Linked DNA regions of Arabidopsis thaliana. The protein of the gene in region 1 interacts with the protein of each later gene in a biochemical or structural test. Each region holds a gene or a part of one and is shown on either strand. Other genes may lie near its edges.

Region 1 (9,771 bases):
CAGCTTTCAGCCTCTGGTTTACAGTGTCCACATGTCGAGCTGTGCCTCTGCTTTGCTGCTGAAGCTCAACCATTTCCTCCATCAATGCACGCCGCTCTTTCCTCAGCTTCTCAATCTCTCCTCCAACCTCAGTAGGTGACCCTTGGCTTTGGCTAGTGCTACTGCAGCAAGTTTGGTTGGATTGTGGTGATCGACGACGATGAATGTTCTTCAGAAGATGCTTCTTGCCTCTAAGGAAAGCCTCGTTAGCGAATTCCCACTTGTCAGTATCAATCTTTCGAAATCCCTGGAAACATTCCAACCCCAAAAAAACAACTCAAACAAGCTCAAGATAAAGTAAGTAAACACATTTACATCAAGACAAGACCAAATATCTCAAGATATTAGAAAGATTCTACCTCTGAAGTGTGAAGAACATGTGAGTAATGATGTCTTAAACCAGACTGAAGTTAACATTGTGAGAAAATAACAAAACTTCATAAACCAAAATTCTCCATTCAAACGAAACCATAAGTATACAAGATTACAAGCTTATTTCAGATGAGAAGTTATTATAAGATCCAATCGAGGCCAAAATTTCATAGATACAAAACTCAGTGTTACATGATAGAGAGATTAAACAAATCCCAAAAAGAAAAGAAAATTACAGGTAATTTTTTACAAGTTATCAAAAAACGAGTTTCAAGAATCTATACAAAATGGTTTTGGTCATCAAAAAGATTACAGAAACATAAAAACAAAACAAAACTGAAAGAAGAAGAAGAAGAAGAAGAATGAGTCTATCTAGAAAACAGAAACAGAGCAAGAGAGATGATTACATAAGTGTTAAGCTGTCTGACGAAGCTGGAGAAATTGTTGTGTTTGAAATTCCTTGGAAGTATGATTCTGGCAAACTCTAGAGGATCCCAAACTACGAAGCTAGCTCCGGTCAGTCCCCAAGAGATGACCGGGTCAAGAGTCGGGTCATCAACCAAATCAAAAGTCTTGGATAAAAAAGGTGGAATTGGATTCCCTTGTAAGATGTCTAGTGGCATGGGAAGTGGTGACCCAGAGAAACCCATGTCAGTGTCGACGTAGAGAGACCCGGGTATATCGGATCGTCTCGAAACGGGTACTGAAATTGGAGTTGGTTTAGAAACAGCATCTTTTTTTGGGCTCATTTGATATAGTAGAAAATTTACGGGTTTTAGTGAGAGAGAGAGTGAGAAATTGGGGTGTGTGTGATAATTAGGGGGTTTAAGAGAAGAAGGATGAGAGGTTTAATGGTTTATAAAGGTTTAGGGAAGGAAGTAACCGACAAACTGTAGTCAGATAATTGAAAAAAATCTGGGGAATAGAGAGGCGGTGGAAATGGGTGGGTCAGTTCCCGCCACCGTGGATTTATCTTTTTCGTCATCATGTTCCATTGATTCATCAGTTTAGAAGAAATTTGGAAACTTTAGTGACAAATAATTGTACAACCGACATTGAAATTGAAAGTTGTTTCCTTGCAGCTTCACTTAGCTCTCTCTCTCTGTGATTTGGTGAAGGAGAGAAAGTGGTGACGATGGTGGGTCCCACGTCATCTTGAGATTTTTGAAAGGAGGAGTGATTTAGCGCGTTTGCCAGGTCAGCTTTCTAATTTGGAACTGGGCCCTCACAAATCACTGATTCGCTTTTCGTGTTTCCTTTTTCAGAATTTAATATTGTATAATTTTGATTTACGCAATCCTATTGGTTACCGATCCATCAAACGATTAATTCGGAAGACAGGTAAAGTCGTTTTCAAGTGTGGGAACTTACTTAGACGCGAAGGCAAAAATAGTTGACTATGTATCTAGATATTTTCAGTCCCAATGCGTTTTTAACGATTTGGGATTATATTCATCTGTATTAGAGTCTCCGAAAGTTACAGTCTTATTTCATTTCTGTTGGTTTATAGTCCAGACTAATCGCACAGTGAACAAATGTAAATCCAATGAATCATATTGAGTTTGCAAAACCCTTTGACAGCATTTACCAGCTGCTCTTTTTTACCTTCGCTTAGTAACTAATTTAGCGGTATAAATGTACAGCAATGTAATTAAATATAGCTTTCAGTGCATTGCTACAAAGACATAACAACAAAATATTGCTTACCCTTTGGGACTAGATAGATAGATTATATCCCTCACATTGTTTCCATTACTACATTTTTTTTTCCTCCCTGTGACAATAGTCATGTACATTTTAACAATCTGCAACATTAAAAAGGGAACAAAACAGCAGACAAAGATCGCAAAAATAATACATGTATAAAAACCATGGGATTCTGTAGGATATGATTGATAGCTCATGAGGAATGTACCTTTAAAGCTATATCTTAACTAGTGTCTCCCTCCTGGGCAGCAAAAGAATGCTGAGAGTATATGTGCATATCATGATTATAACAACTTTTGAATGGACCGGGGGTATTTTACAAATCCGAGCGGTTGGGCGGAGGAACCGCTGATTTGATCAATGGTCTTAGCAAGTCCATTATAGTTGCAAATGATGGACGCTTCCATGGCTCACTGGTAATGAAACACATACATAAACATGAAGTCTATTCAAGAAGAATTCAAAAAAGAGATAGAAAATCTTAACGTACTTGGTCCAACAACCCTCGATTATGGCTGCAACCTGAGGATTCAGATTACGCGGGATCTCCAGCCGTTTACACTTGAAACCAACCGCAGCTACAACCTATGGAACATTTTTTTGTATGATCATATATAGCATGTTATGAAATGTAGAGTGAGGGACTTCCAAATGCAAAATAATATCATTATTATTTGAGATGTTTAGAGTGGAAAGTACCTGAGCCGGATTTAAGTTACCCCATGGTTGTTGCAATGTAGCAAGCTCCCACAAGATGACCCCGAAGCTGTACACATCTGACTTTTCATTAGACGGCTCATCTCGCAGGACTTCTGGTGCCATCCACTCGGGCTGATATATCAAAGTCAGTAATTATTTAGCTTCCATTGGAAATAGGACCTAGAAGAAAGTTACGTTGTTCAGCGTGTTTTAGTTTCAAACAAACTGAACTTACGGTTCCAGCTGCTGACTTCGAGGAAAGAAACGTGCTGGCCTTCAATCGCGAGAGACCAAAATCACAAACCTGAAATTTCAAGACAAATTGAGGAGTTAGAATAATAATGTTCTGATTGTTTTTAAGACGACAGCTTGAGGCTGCTGTATCTTTTAAGTTTCAGCAGATTAACGCCTTTTTGTAATGTCTCCAAACCAATTTAGAATTAAAAATCATAATTTATATATAAGCTTGTCTCACAAGAGGAATAAAATATCAAAATCAAAACATTGGACACAACAATTTCTAATTTAGATTCAAACCTTGACTGTATATTTTTTGTCAACCAATAAGTTTGGAGATTTTAGATCTCTATGCACAATTGGAGGATTGCGATTGTGAAGATAATTCATTCCCTTAGCCTGTGACAGAGAATTGGAAAGAAAGTTCCATGTGAAGAAACACCAAGATCAGGAAGTAATCACCCATACATGTAACATAAGGAATTAAACATACCACATCATAAGCCATACTCAGGCGACGTCTCTCATCTAATTGCTCCCTTGCTCCACTTTTATGCAAAAGTCTGTATAAACTACCTCTGTTTGAAAGAAATCATGGTATTAGAGTCATTATAGGCCAAAATTCTACACTCAGTACATCAAACCTTCCAAATCCAAGTAATTGTACCTTGACAAATATTCTGTCACTATTGACAAATTTGGAGGTTGAGTGACCGCACCCATGAAGAGAACAATGTTAGGGTGGCGAAGGCGTTTCATTATCGCAACCTGACAGCGAATCAAGATCATTGGAGACATTAATACAACAAGTTCATTACCAAAATCAAGAGAAAATTTTATTTGTGCACCTCTCTTAAGAACTCATTAACACGCTCAGCATGGAAGTCTTGCTCCATGAGAATTTTCACAGCAACATCCTGAAATTGATAGAGAATATTACTGCAATAATCAAAATTAGAATTCTTCTAGTGATAGAATTGTAAAATTCAAACAGGAAGACAAATTTATGATATAAAGACACATATACATCTAAAATGGGACACCTTTTGTCCGTGTTTAATTTCTGACAGAACGGAGAGTCACATATACAATAACTTTGCCTTTTATAATACCAAGCAGATCCAAAAGTCACAACCAAATTTTTAGAGCGAAAAAAAATTCAGCTGCGTAAATTCTGACAAAAAAGTTCTTACCGAGCCATGCCACTCAGCACGGTGGACAGTGCCAAAGGAACCTGAAAGAGCAGTCGCTCAAATTAGAGTGGAAGAATTAAAGGCAACAGAGAAGAATGTAATCTCAAAATGGGTGGCACTTTTTCCTTATTTTGTTCGAGAACAGAGTCCAAAGCAAAACCACTTCCTCAAGAATTTCATATTTCTTTGCATTTTTAGACCGAATCATTAATTTTTCCGTAAAATTATTACCTGCTCCAATCTTTTCTTTTATATTAAGATCACACCACGGGATGTCCATATCATCACCATCAAGTCCAAGTTCCCTATTTGCCCTGTTTGGAACTGGCTGACTGATTGGTGGGGCATTCATAGGTGCTGCTTCAATTTGATTTGACGCACGCATCATGTTCTGTGGAGGCATATTAGCACTGGGTGGCAAAGACCCACCACCATTTTCTGCCAATGCGTCATTCTCTCCACCCGGATTATCATATTGCCTATGAAACATTGAGAATCCCATATCATCTACAACCATTCAAACAAGCAGATATAAGAAATTAGAGTCCAGAAGACAAGTCTTGCACATAAATGCACTAGAATTCATAAGCTTGAACAGCAGACTAACAAGTTTAACCTTAAATATCATTAGGCAAAGAACCCACCAACAAACATACACATCAACAGCCAAAAACAACTAAAGTGAAAAGAGACAAGAAAACAAACAATAGAATCATTCTAAGACTACTAACACTTCAGATACTGAGACATGATCAAGAAATACCCTAAATGATAGGAGATTACTCTTTTAGGGGAAATACAAAACGAGATGTAAGCAGCATGCAAAAAGTTAACATATTATTCAGGTTTTTTGTATGGGAATACCTGATGCAGGATCGAAAACAAGATTAAGAGACTGGCTATCGGAGAAATATTGTTTGGCTAGTAACCTAAAATCGACTGCGGGTTCAACTGGCTTTGGTCGTGGAAACCGCAGAGGAGAAGAAATTGAGATAGATGAAGGACCATTTAGCAAGGAATCAGGCTCCCATAAGTGACCTGGCTTTCCTACTAAATCAACCAGGTACTCCCTGAAACCAAAACAAATTTTCCACGTCATCAACCTAATATTCTGCGAAACATTTGGAGCTATAATTGTTTTTCCAGAAACAAAAAGCAAAGAAAATAGGAAAATAAAGGCTCTTTCGCAATCACTTGTATCATACCTATCAAGCCCAAACCTGACAAGGCACGAAGCGGCATCGTCTCTATTACAATATTTACATCCTTTGGCAATTCGACAGGGTAAATCAATTATGTCAGCCAGTACCTGCATGCACCAAATAGAAGATATAAAATACTTTTTTTCTTTGGAACATTCAACTATCAGTAACCTATTTTTTTCTAATCAATAACACCACTTTTCACATTCAACGTTCTTCATATGTATTCCAATAAAAACAAATGGATGAAGCACAATAATTTATATGATCATTTCACAAGATGTCTTAAATGTCATGGGGATAGCATCAAAGTTGGGATCTCACTTTGAAGAGTAAAGCTCGATGTCTGCAGAGTCCAACAGAGAGGCTACCTATGGGAACCACCACTTTAAAGATTTCTTTTAGACCATCAATGCACTCCTTCCACATGGGAACCAACTCATCTTCCCCCATGATAACTGGACCCCTGGGGAAGCAAGAATTAACGAGTACAATGTGAGAAATCACAGGAAGATATAAAAATATAAGTTCAAAGGGATAGTAAGGATTGTATGAGTACAAACCCCATACGATTGCAGATAAGCTTTGCCAGCTGATCAACAACCTCTTTTGTGGTAATGCAGCTACAAGATATGTCGTGGACTCTATTGTGAAGTTCCTTGAAGGCTGGATCACTACGCCTATCAACTATGATCGCTTCAAGCGAAGAATCAACACCAGAATCAACAGCTCTTAATGATTCAATTGAAGGGATGCGACCACTTTCATGCAGGTCGATGCATAAGGTCCAAATATAGGGATCCAGACCATTCATCATATAAAACCCATCAGGAACTTTATCATAGTACGATAAGCAGCCATTAACCTGATGCAGCACACAAAACAATCATACTCTGCAATGTATCTAAACAACATATCTCATTTGCTACTAATAGACTTTTGGTAAGGAGATCTAACTGAAACTTCGGAAACAAGAGGACCATATCTCTATAACCACGATTCAATAATTTTGGGAAACAAAGCTTAACAGGAACAAATACCCAGAAACGATGTGAAACGGTTTCGGCTGAACTTGGCGAAGTCCGTAAAGCAGACTCGTCCGGTACAGGATCCAGAAAGTTCGGATCGTCGGCACAAGTAGCCTCCGACGAAAGCCTTAACGCCAATGCAAGCTGCAGCTGATAACTCTCCTCCGTCTGCTGCGCCCAGCTCTTCCCAGATGAAGACCCTCCAGCGGAGTCCGCCGCCATCTGTATCCTCAAATCTCCTCCACCACCACCAAATCCAAGCCTAAACCCATCATCTTGAGGAAATCCAACAGATTCGATCTCGTTAGCCGCCGCAGAAAGCGTAGGCATGTAATAATCCCCAGACAAAGAGCTCTCACCGAAACTACTCCCACTGGATTGCCTTTGCAACCCTAGAGACGAAGCATACATATTATTCCCAACCCGATTCGGTTGATTATTCAACCTATGATCACCACCACCACCACCGCTAGGATCCCAATCAAATCCGCCTCTCTCCGCCTTAGCTTTCCCGGTGTTCCCGCTGTTATGGTTGCTCCTGTTTTCGCTCGACAAGGAATCATAGTGAGGCGGAGGAGCTCCGGTGACGGAAACTGACACCTGATCGTCAGAAAATTGACTAAGCAAAGTGTAATTAGATCTTCTACCGGGCATTTCCATGGAAAAGAGAGTTATCGCGATCTAGATGAGAGAGTTTCCCGATCATATAAACATCAAACCCTAGGAAACCGCCATTGTTGAAGAAGTTTGGCGAGCTAGCTAGCCACTTGTTTCTCTCTCTAGTTTTTCATTTTTTTTTTGTACTTTTTAAAAAAGTCTCTCTCTCTCTCTCTCTCTCTCTCTCTCTCTAATGGAATTGGATTTTTTTTTTGTTTTTGCGTTATCATAGGAAATAAACTTACTCGGTGCGTTTCTGTTGATAATTTCGTTATATTCCTCTTTTGTCCTCCTTTTTATGGAACTTTGACATTTTTTTTATTTTTTGTCAAAACAATTCTCCAATTTAGTTTGTTTTTTAGTGTATTATTATTTGTCTAATTTTTGTATTCGACTATGATATCTATTCATATGTTTTGTGCTAATTTAATCGCTAATAAAACTGTTTAAACAATTAATTTGGTATTTCATATTTTGGTGATAAGCAACTGAAATTGGAAGATAAAAAGTAGTATCGTAGTGAAAGTAGAAAACGCAAAGCTAAAAGAGGAACATACACAGTGTAAAATACTAAACCATCTTGCCTATCAAATCCAAATACTATCAAATTTGATCTTTTACACCAATCTGAATCCGTAACATTGGATCCAAGTTTCGTATACCTAAACATGAAATTTTCATTCGGCTCTACGTAGTCTAAAAAACTCGACATAAAATAAATAAAAAGCCTTTATAACGTCCACAATATTTAGAATAGAAAGTGAGAGAATGGACTATAATAAAATAATTGGAGTCGAGGGGGATGTATTCGTGTATGCGAAAATGGATGGGCTCTTCTGTCTTTATATTCCTTAATTTGTCTATTCAAACACATTCGTATTTCTGGTCTTCGGCCTGCGACTTCTATACCATGCATGCATCTTATCTCTCTCTTTTTTTTTTTTTTTCGTTTTCTTTTCTACTTCTCCATTTTTTTTTAATTTGGTTATTTTTATTGCCTTTATGTTTTTTGTGTATTATATATAAATGAACTAATAATACTTCATTATGTTTCGTGTTATTATAAGTGAATTTTTCACAACCATTACAAAAAATTATCTTTTGCTTAAAAGTTAACTTTGGATTATAGTACTTCATAAAAATGTAAAGATTTTGATCAAGTACTTATCAACGCAGCTTGGGTAGTCAATGTGCTGTCATTAATTTATCTATCAAGCTATCCACGCAGCTTGGACAATAAATAAATATTTAAATTCTATTGCATATTTATATCATTTGATCCGCTAAGGTTCATCGAATACTGCCAGGTTCATTGCACTCAACGCATTTTTGTCATTAACTTACGTTTTTTAGCCATGGCTGCTGAGAATATAAAGTTGCTACTATGTAAAGAAACTTTTGGGTTTGATCATATTTGTGCACAAAAAAAAATAAAAAAAAAATCATACTTTTAAAACTAGTATTAATCCAAAAAGTGCTAAAACATAACAAAAAAAAATTCTCCTTAACTACTATACAAACATATATTTTTTTATGCGCATAAATTAAAACTTAACAATTGATTATGATCACATATGTTGAAAAAAATCGAAATTATGTGTGATATGTAAAACCGGAGTATAATATTGGTAAACTATAAATTTAAGAGCATTGGAAAATGTTCATGATTCATGCCGAGAACTCTTCTAAATCTAAACACGAGAGGCCCCGAATAGATCTAACTAAAATGAATTGTGTTTAATATAATAATAGTGTTCCTTAATTCTCACTCGTGCAACTATCCATTTAATAATTTTAATTATTCGTAGTCGGGGACCGTACTTAGTTTTATCATATAAACTCTTCACAGATTTTGTTAACTGGTTTTTCTTTGGATTAGAAAAAAATTAAAACTTTGCGATACATTATGCTCAATTTATCCGTGGGACTTATTTTGAGGAATGGAGATAGATATTGTCATGAAGACATGAATATATAGACCCCACATGTTGACGAAAACTCCGTCAGTCAAATAAAGTGTTAAAAGTCCGTTACGATCCGTCCTGACACCGTTAAAAAAAGCCGTCAAAATAAAGTATGGGCTTGAAACGTTAGTTTTGTTGGGCTAATTTTAAAATCATGGCCCAACTAAAGGAGATATTCGAGTGGACCGCGTAACAGAGGATCCCTAAAATCCCTTCCTCCGATTAATAAATTCCAGCGGACATTTTAGCCTTCTCACATCAACACGCCCTAAAACCGCTCTCGAGAGACGAATCGCTCTCAGCTTCTTCTAGAACCTTCTCCTTCTCCTTCGACGCATCGTCGCCTTCAAGATCACACTACCTCGCACAACAATGGAGTTCTGGGGTAAAAAACATCTCCTATCTTACTCCTTCTTCTTCTTCGTTCTCTGCGCTTCATTTCCTGCATTTAGTTTTTTTTTAGCTTCTGGTTTCATCGCTTTTTTTCGTTTTGCCATGTTTTTCTACTGTTTTTTCTATGGAATCTTCTGTTTAGCTAAACGAGAAACGGGAATAGTGAGTATATGTGACAATCTAGGGTATGGACTGTTCGTCTTCGTAGAAAATTGGGGAAAACTGAAAAGTTTTCTCTCTCGCTAGGTTTTAACTCCGATAGAGGTTTCATTTGGGGATT
Region 2 (6,318 bases), on another chromosome or scaffold:
CTCGTTGAAGCATTTCATCAAACACCTTCCGTGCAGACACCAAATCACCTTCCTTAGCTTTCGCATAAACAACAATCGAATAACCAATAGTATCAACAACCATATTCTTCATCAACAATCTCTTCAACAAACTCATACTCTCCTCTATTCTCATCTCTTCCAAAACCCTAAACACTAAACTCGTATTCACAATCACTGAAGGTAAACATCTCTTACCACAAATCCTATCTAACAAATCAACAACTTCTTTCAATCTCCCTTCTTTACACAACACTTGAATCATTATCCGAATCGTAATCTCGTTCGGATAAATCCTTTTATCAATCGCACATTCGTAAATCCTCCACACAAGATCATCAATCTTCGATTTCGAAGAGTAATGAATCAACGTGTTTAAAGTAATCACACTAAGAGTAAATCCACAATCACACAATCTCTTGAACACATCAAACCCTAATTCCAAATACCTAATCTTAGCGTAACATTGAACTAACAAATCAAACACTAAAGGAGTAGAAGATGAGATCTCATAAGTATCTAACAACGAATCGACTAAATCCGAATCGGGAGGAGAATTTAACAGAGACGATTCAATTAAAGCTCGAGCGTCGATTAGTAATCGAGCTTTGACAAGGATATGAATCGTCAATGCGTAAGATTTGATTCCGTGACGGAGATTTCGAGTGTGGGATGACCAATGGAAGAAGGATAAAGCTTGTTTGGCGGTTTCGGGGTTTTTGAATCGGAGAAGGATTGTTTCGATTAAGGAATCTGATAGATCTATGGAGGAGAATTTGGTGGAGAGAGTTTCCCAGGTATCGTTGGATTGGAGGGATTTGGAGATGTAGTCGATGAGGATTTGTTGTTGTTTGTTTGGATTTGGATTAGTTTTGGAGGAGAAGGAGAAGAAGCCATGGATGAGTTTTGGAGATCGGGTTGATTGAGAAACTAAGTAACGCCATTGTTGTTGTTCTACTAAGCGGCGCAAAGCTGACGCCATAATACTGCATCAATGTCATACATGCACGCAACAAGCATCCATAACTCGATCCAAATTCTTATAAGAATGTAACTACATATATAAGGATACAACATTAGTCAAACATGTAATCTGAAATGGTATGATTATACCACCACCATCTTGTTCCTCTATAACCGAAATCGCCACGGACACATACCGGTTTAGAGTTTCTATTTTGTTATTCCCTTTCTGTTTTAAGATATCATCCAAAACGCTCCGACAATCTCTGATATGTACACAATTAAACCAGAGAACATCAGCTTCCGATGTTTTACGGGAGAAGAAGGCGGGAGCGGAATTACTCCTCTGGGGCATGGGGCATCCATCGCCTTTACATGCCCTCGTACAGTACCCGGGGCTCGAGAAGATCAGACAGAACATCTCTTATGTTGTCTAGTGATACGGGTTTGAGCAACACACCGTCTAGACCAAAGCTCATGCATTTCTCTTTTGTGGATTTGTCAGTGTTACCACTGAGTGCCACAAGTAGTGGCCGTTGGTGGCGTTGTTTTGTGAATTTCTCGTGAATACGGAGAGCGATTTGGTAGTTTTCGACCCCGGGCATGCACACGTCCATGAAGACCACTTTGTGCTCATGGGACACAACTCGGAGACACTCCTCGTTTGAACTCACCGTGGTCACTTCGCACCCAAGGTGTACAAGAAGTCCCTTCGTCACCATTCTACTTACCCTGCAACCAAAATAATCATCGGTTTCTCATAAGATTAAATTTGCGTTTTTTCTAAACGCCAATATCTGCATTTGCAAGAAGTAAGGCGAGAGATTTTGCAAAGAGAAAGGTGAGAAGCTTATACTAACCCGTTCTCATCCATGACAAGAACCTTAAGTCCAGTGAAATTTGAATGTCGGGGAATGGCTGGAACTTTCGGTATGCCCGACTGTTTAGATTCGTTTGAACGTTCTGAGATCCCAAGTTTAACATCAAAGATAGCCGTGCATCCTTTTCCAAGACCATCGCTCTCAATCCAAATGTTACCCTCCATCAGATTCACAAACCTTGTCATATTAAACGCTTATGAGTAAACTTTTAACAACACAGAAGACAAGAAAAAGTTGGAAAAAAACGTCTTTTAATAAGGCTCAAACCTCTTGGAGATGGCGAGGCCAAGCCCACTACCACCCGAGCTTCTCGTCGCTAAAGATTGTGTTTGAGCAAATTTAGTGAAAATCTTTGGAATGTCTTGAGGATTTATTCCTGCTCCAGAGTCTTTTACCTATATTTGAATAATCATCAAAATTAAGACCTAAGAAATACTTTCAGCTATGGTATAAGATCCCAAGATACAAGATAATAACCTTCACTCTCAAGTAGAAATGACTCCCAGTTGGCACGACAAAAAAGTCAGCAGCTCGTGTGTCTGACTTGGTGACAAGAGCGGTTACGGAGATACTACCTTGTTTGGAGAATTTCACAGCATTACCAACTATATTTAATATTATCTGCATTAGCCGTTTCTCATCCCCAACAACAAATTCTGGCAAATCTGGTGCAAGATTTAGTGTGATGGGTAATTTCTTAACAACCGCTATAGGCTTTATCAGATTGAGGACCTGCAACAAGATTCAATATGACAATCAAGTACACAAATAGTATAAACTTATGAAACATAGAGCTGTTCAAAAGTTACCTCTCTAAATAATGTATGAAGATTGAATGTCCCAAGTTCAAGTTGAAGACTTCCATCTTCTAACCTTGAAAGATCTAAGACATCATTCATCAAAGTTGCCAAAAGGTTACTACTTTTAAGTATTGTTTCCACCATCAGTCTTTGTTCAGGGGTTAGTTCCGTTTCTTGGAGTAAGGAAGAGAGTGCAATAATCGCATGCATCGGTGTTCGCATTTCATGGTTCATAACCGCTAGGAAATCATTGCGGGCACGGATTGCTGTTTCTGCTTCTCGTCTAGCTAGATCAAGAGCAACATTCTGCTCCATGAGAAGGTCCCTAGCTCGCATCGACTCTTCTAGGATCGCAGCATGTGAGAGAGCTACAGCCACCTATAATAAGAGAAGAAAAGTTATAGACAAGATCATGAACATAGCAAAGAAGAGAAATTCTCAGCAATGTAAAACCTGATCAGCGACGACTTCAACGAGTTCCAACTCATGGACATGCCATTGCCTTGCACTATCTGAAGGAAGCATCAAAACCATCAAAGCATATCTCTTTGTTGAAAGCTCAGGCCAGTCATTAATCTGAAAATTAGAAAGGTGGAGAAGCGGAACCCTCACAGCGACCACCTCCCCTAGCATATATTTCCCAGAAACAGGTCTCAACCTAGCCACAGGAGAATTAGGAGATATTTTTACAGCCCTACTAGTACCAAACACTTGGTTAATCACCGGTAATTGAATAGGAACCGTATACTCCACGGGATGTTGATGACGAAGTGTATAAGAAAGCTGTAGCTCTAACCCAGTTCTAGTAGGCATCCACAATGCACACTCCTCCAAAGCTAATGTCCTACCAAGCTCAACAAGTGTAGTCTTTAAAATAGTATGTCTATCTAAAGTGCTTCTAATCTCATGAGTCAACATTCTCACATGCCTTCCGGTTTCTTCCTGAGTTCGAATCAATCCCATTTCTCTATCGAGCTCAGCAGCTTTATTTTTCAAGAAAAGCTCCCGAGTCTTAACACTCAAAAGATCAGGAATAATATGAACAAGCATCAACGCAGTAGCACACGAGACAACAGCGGTTAACACCTTCGCGGTAGTCATCACAAGCGCCACGGTTCTCGAATGCGTAGTGAAAGTCCATAAGTTAATAAGATGAGTTGCTCCACAAAGAACGATAAAAGCACCAAACTGAACAAGTACCCATCTATACGGAAACACGGCTGATTTCTTCACAAAGTAAATCAACTCAAGAGGAATCGAAAAATACGCAATCGCAATGAAGAAATCGGAGATGTATTGGTATTTCATTAACAATTCATCCGCTGGCCATTGCGGTTCAATACAATTGCAGACTTCCATTATGAATTTTTTACACTATAGTTCCTCTCTCACACATACACACACCTGTGTAACAAACACATAGCATTATCAACTTCGATTTACGACGAGAACGTAGCGTAGACAGATCATGAGCATCAAAATTGCTATAAATTCTGAAGAATCGAATTCGATCACAACGATTACGAAAAAATAGGTTGCATATTTCAGTCTCGAGAACAGTAAAATTCGAATCCGAATCATGAAATTAACGATTAAATCTTAATTTAAAGTTCCTAATAACGATGCATTACACTAGATAAAGACCAATTAGGTTAATCAATCTCTATGATTTGAGATCGACGACAACAACAGAAGAAAACTGTGGAAGTGAAGAATATATATAAAGAAGTCACGAAACAATCTGAGGAGAGAATCGAGGAAGAAGAAGCTTACTTGGGAAGAATTGATCGGAGAAGAGGAGGAATTGGGGATTTGGGACGCGGCGGAGAGCGACGGAGAAGGAGAAAAGGGGAGCGTTGAAGCTTTTTTTCAAGTCAAAATTGGTTGGGTTTAACACTTCTTCTTCGTTCTTACTTTTTTTTTCGACGTCATTTCTCTAATTTTTTTGTTATTATTATCAGATGTTTTTTTTTAATAAAAAAGGGTAATATAGCTGGTGGGTGCATGAATTTGTTCATTCAAATATCTTATGATAGTGTAATGACGTAATGTAGATAAAGGAATAGAGTAAAAATGGTAAGAAAAATACAGATAATATAGGATAAATATCCCCATATTTATCAACAAATACTATCTTTATGGTTTCACCAAAAAATGCAAAATATTGTTTTCACTAACTTTCACCTTACATTGATTCGTATGATTTCAAAAAAGGAGAATGATAATGTCATTTGGAGATTAAGCAATATATATGTTTAGCCAATATAAAATTATGAGTTTTAAGTGTAATCTTATGTAAATAATCGTTTGTATAAAACATTATATAGTTGTAAGAGAAGTAAAACAAGTTGAATCAAACAAATATGTTCATGTGAATAAAAGCTATATTATGTCAACTTGGAGATATATCAAACTACTAATGTTATATCTGGTTAACTGTAATATATCTCCAAATTGACATAATATAGGTTTTCAGTACCTCAAAACTAAATCAGAGTTAACCAGAAATTTGATCCTAAACCAAAAGTATATTAAGCAATTATATAAAATTATTACATTAGTTTTTTTTGAAATCAATCCTCCGAAAAATGTACATAAGACCTTAACCAGTCAAATCAAAATCCAAACAAAACTAAATTTCATCGATTCAATTCTCAACCAACGTTTATGTCTCATATATACTAGTGTTGATTACTTCAAACTTACAATATGGAATCTTAATATATACCTTCAAGATGATGGCTCTAATCAGCCTATCTCGAACTGAATCTCATTTTAAGATCAGTATTAAATCTCAACACACGAAATTTTGATACATACAGTAAAACCTCTATAAATTAATACTCGATAAATTAATAATCTCTATAAATTAATAAATTTTTTCGGTCCCGAGTTGGAACCACTGTAAAAAGTGATACAAATCGATAAATTAATAAGATAATAGTTTTTTTGAAAATCTTATATAAACATAGGGTCCCATTAATATCATAAATTACAGAGAAATATAATTTTAATATTGTTTTTTTTTTACTTAAATTTGTATAAGTTTTTTTTTATTTCATTTTAATATTTTTACTCTATCAAAAACTTTTCTTGTTGTTTTCTAGACATGATAATTATTTCTATTTGTAATTGGTTCTAAAAATATATTTTAGATAATGGAATGAATCTTAAATTTTTATAGAAATTAAAAAAAAAATTACCACTTTTGGAAAATCTCTCTGTAAATTAATAAATATTAATTTATCGATAAATTAATACCTTTATAAATTAATAGAATTTTGTGGTCTCAACATTATTAATTTATAGAGATTTTACTGTATTAAATTTTATGGATTTCCAAATTAAATCTAATTAATAATAAATAGATTGGTGTATATTCTTTATATATAAGTGTTGGTCCTTCAATTTAAAATAAGAATAAAAATCGCAATACCAAAATATATGGATTGAACCAAATTGATATTAAGGGAAAGAGTGGGGCCAATACTATAATGACCAGAGAATCGAAATAGAAAGAAAACTTAGGACATGGTTGGCTCACACTGGTCCACAAGTAACTCTTGTGGTTACAATTTTCACTTCTAATCCCATAATTCTCCTTCTTTGTCCTCTTCTTTCTCCCTAAAATCCTAAATCCTTCTTTGGATTACTCT

The links. The genes of interacting proteins can lie anywhere in the genome.
Region 2: the proteins of CTR1 (region 1) and ETR1 form a complex in vitro, tested with the Arabidopsis thaliana proteins (2 studies listed by BioGRID).

Annotation. Positions count from the first base shown.
Region 1 is NC_003076.8:972,524-982,294, forward strand, and holds CTR1 (Protein kinase superfamily protein), read right to left. Parts: upstream 7,327-9,771; 5' UTR 7,138-7,326; coding exon 6,490-7,137; intron 6,315-6,489; coding exon 6,013-6,314; intron 5,916-6,012; coding exon 5,774-5,915; intron 5,557-5,773; coding exon 5,453-5,556; intron 5,318-5,452; coding exon 5,112-5,317; intron 4,755-5,111; coding exon 4,479-4,754; intron 4,289-4,478; coding exon 4,248-4,288; intron 3,972-4,247; coding exon 3,903-3,971; intron 3,823-3,902; coding exon 3,722-3,822; intron 3,633-3,721; coding exon 3,548-3,632; intron 3,454-3,547; coding exon 3,355-3,453; intron 3,122-3,354; coding exon 3,053-3,121; intron 2,950-3,052; coding exon 2,818-2,949; intron 2,704-2,817; coding exon 2,609-2,703; intron 2,532-2,608; coding exon 2,435-2,531; 3' UTR 2,327-2,434; exon of another isoform or gene 2,186-2,326; 3' UTR 1,837-2,185; downstream 1-1,836. Other genes in the region: HSFA3 (heat shock transcription factor A3), read right to left, coding at 1-286, 819-1,160; HD2C (histone deacetylase 2C), read left to right, coding at 9,471-9,483. UniProt on the Arabidopsis thaliana protein: Acts as a negative regulator in the ethylene response pathway. Phosphorylates the cytosolic C-terminal domain of EIN2, preventing the signaling in the absence of ethylene.
Region 2 is NC_003070.9:24,732,401-24,738,718, reverse strand, and holds ETR1 (Signal transduction histidine kinase, hybrid-type, ethylene sensor), read right to left. Parts: upstream 4,558-6,318; 5' UTR 4,436-4,557; intron 4,067-4,435; 5' UTR 4,022-4,066; coding exon 3,116-4,021; intron 3,041-3,115; coding exon 2,672-3,040; intron 2,595-2,671; coding exon 2,340-2,594; intron 2,258-2,339; coding exon 2,130-2,257; intron 2,040-2,129; coding exon 1,842-2,039; intron 1,714-1,841; coding exon 1,353-1,713; 3' UTR 1,001-1,352; downstream 1-1,000. Other genes in the region: AT1G66345 (Pentatricopeptide repeat (PPR) superfamily protein), read right to left, coding at 1-1,000. UniProt on the Arabidopsis thaliana protein: Ethylene receptor related to bacterial two-component regulators. Acts as a redundant negative regulator of ethylene signaling.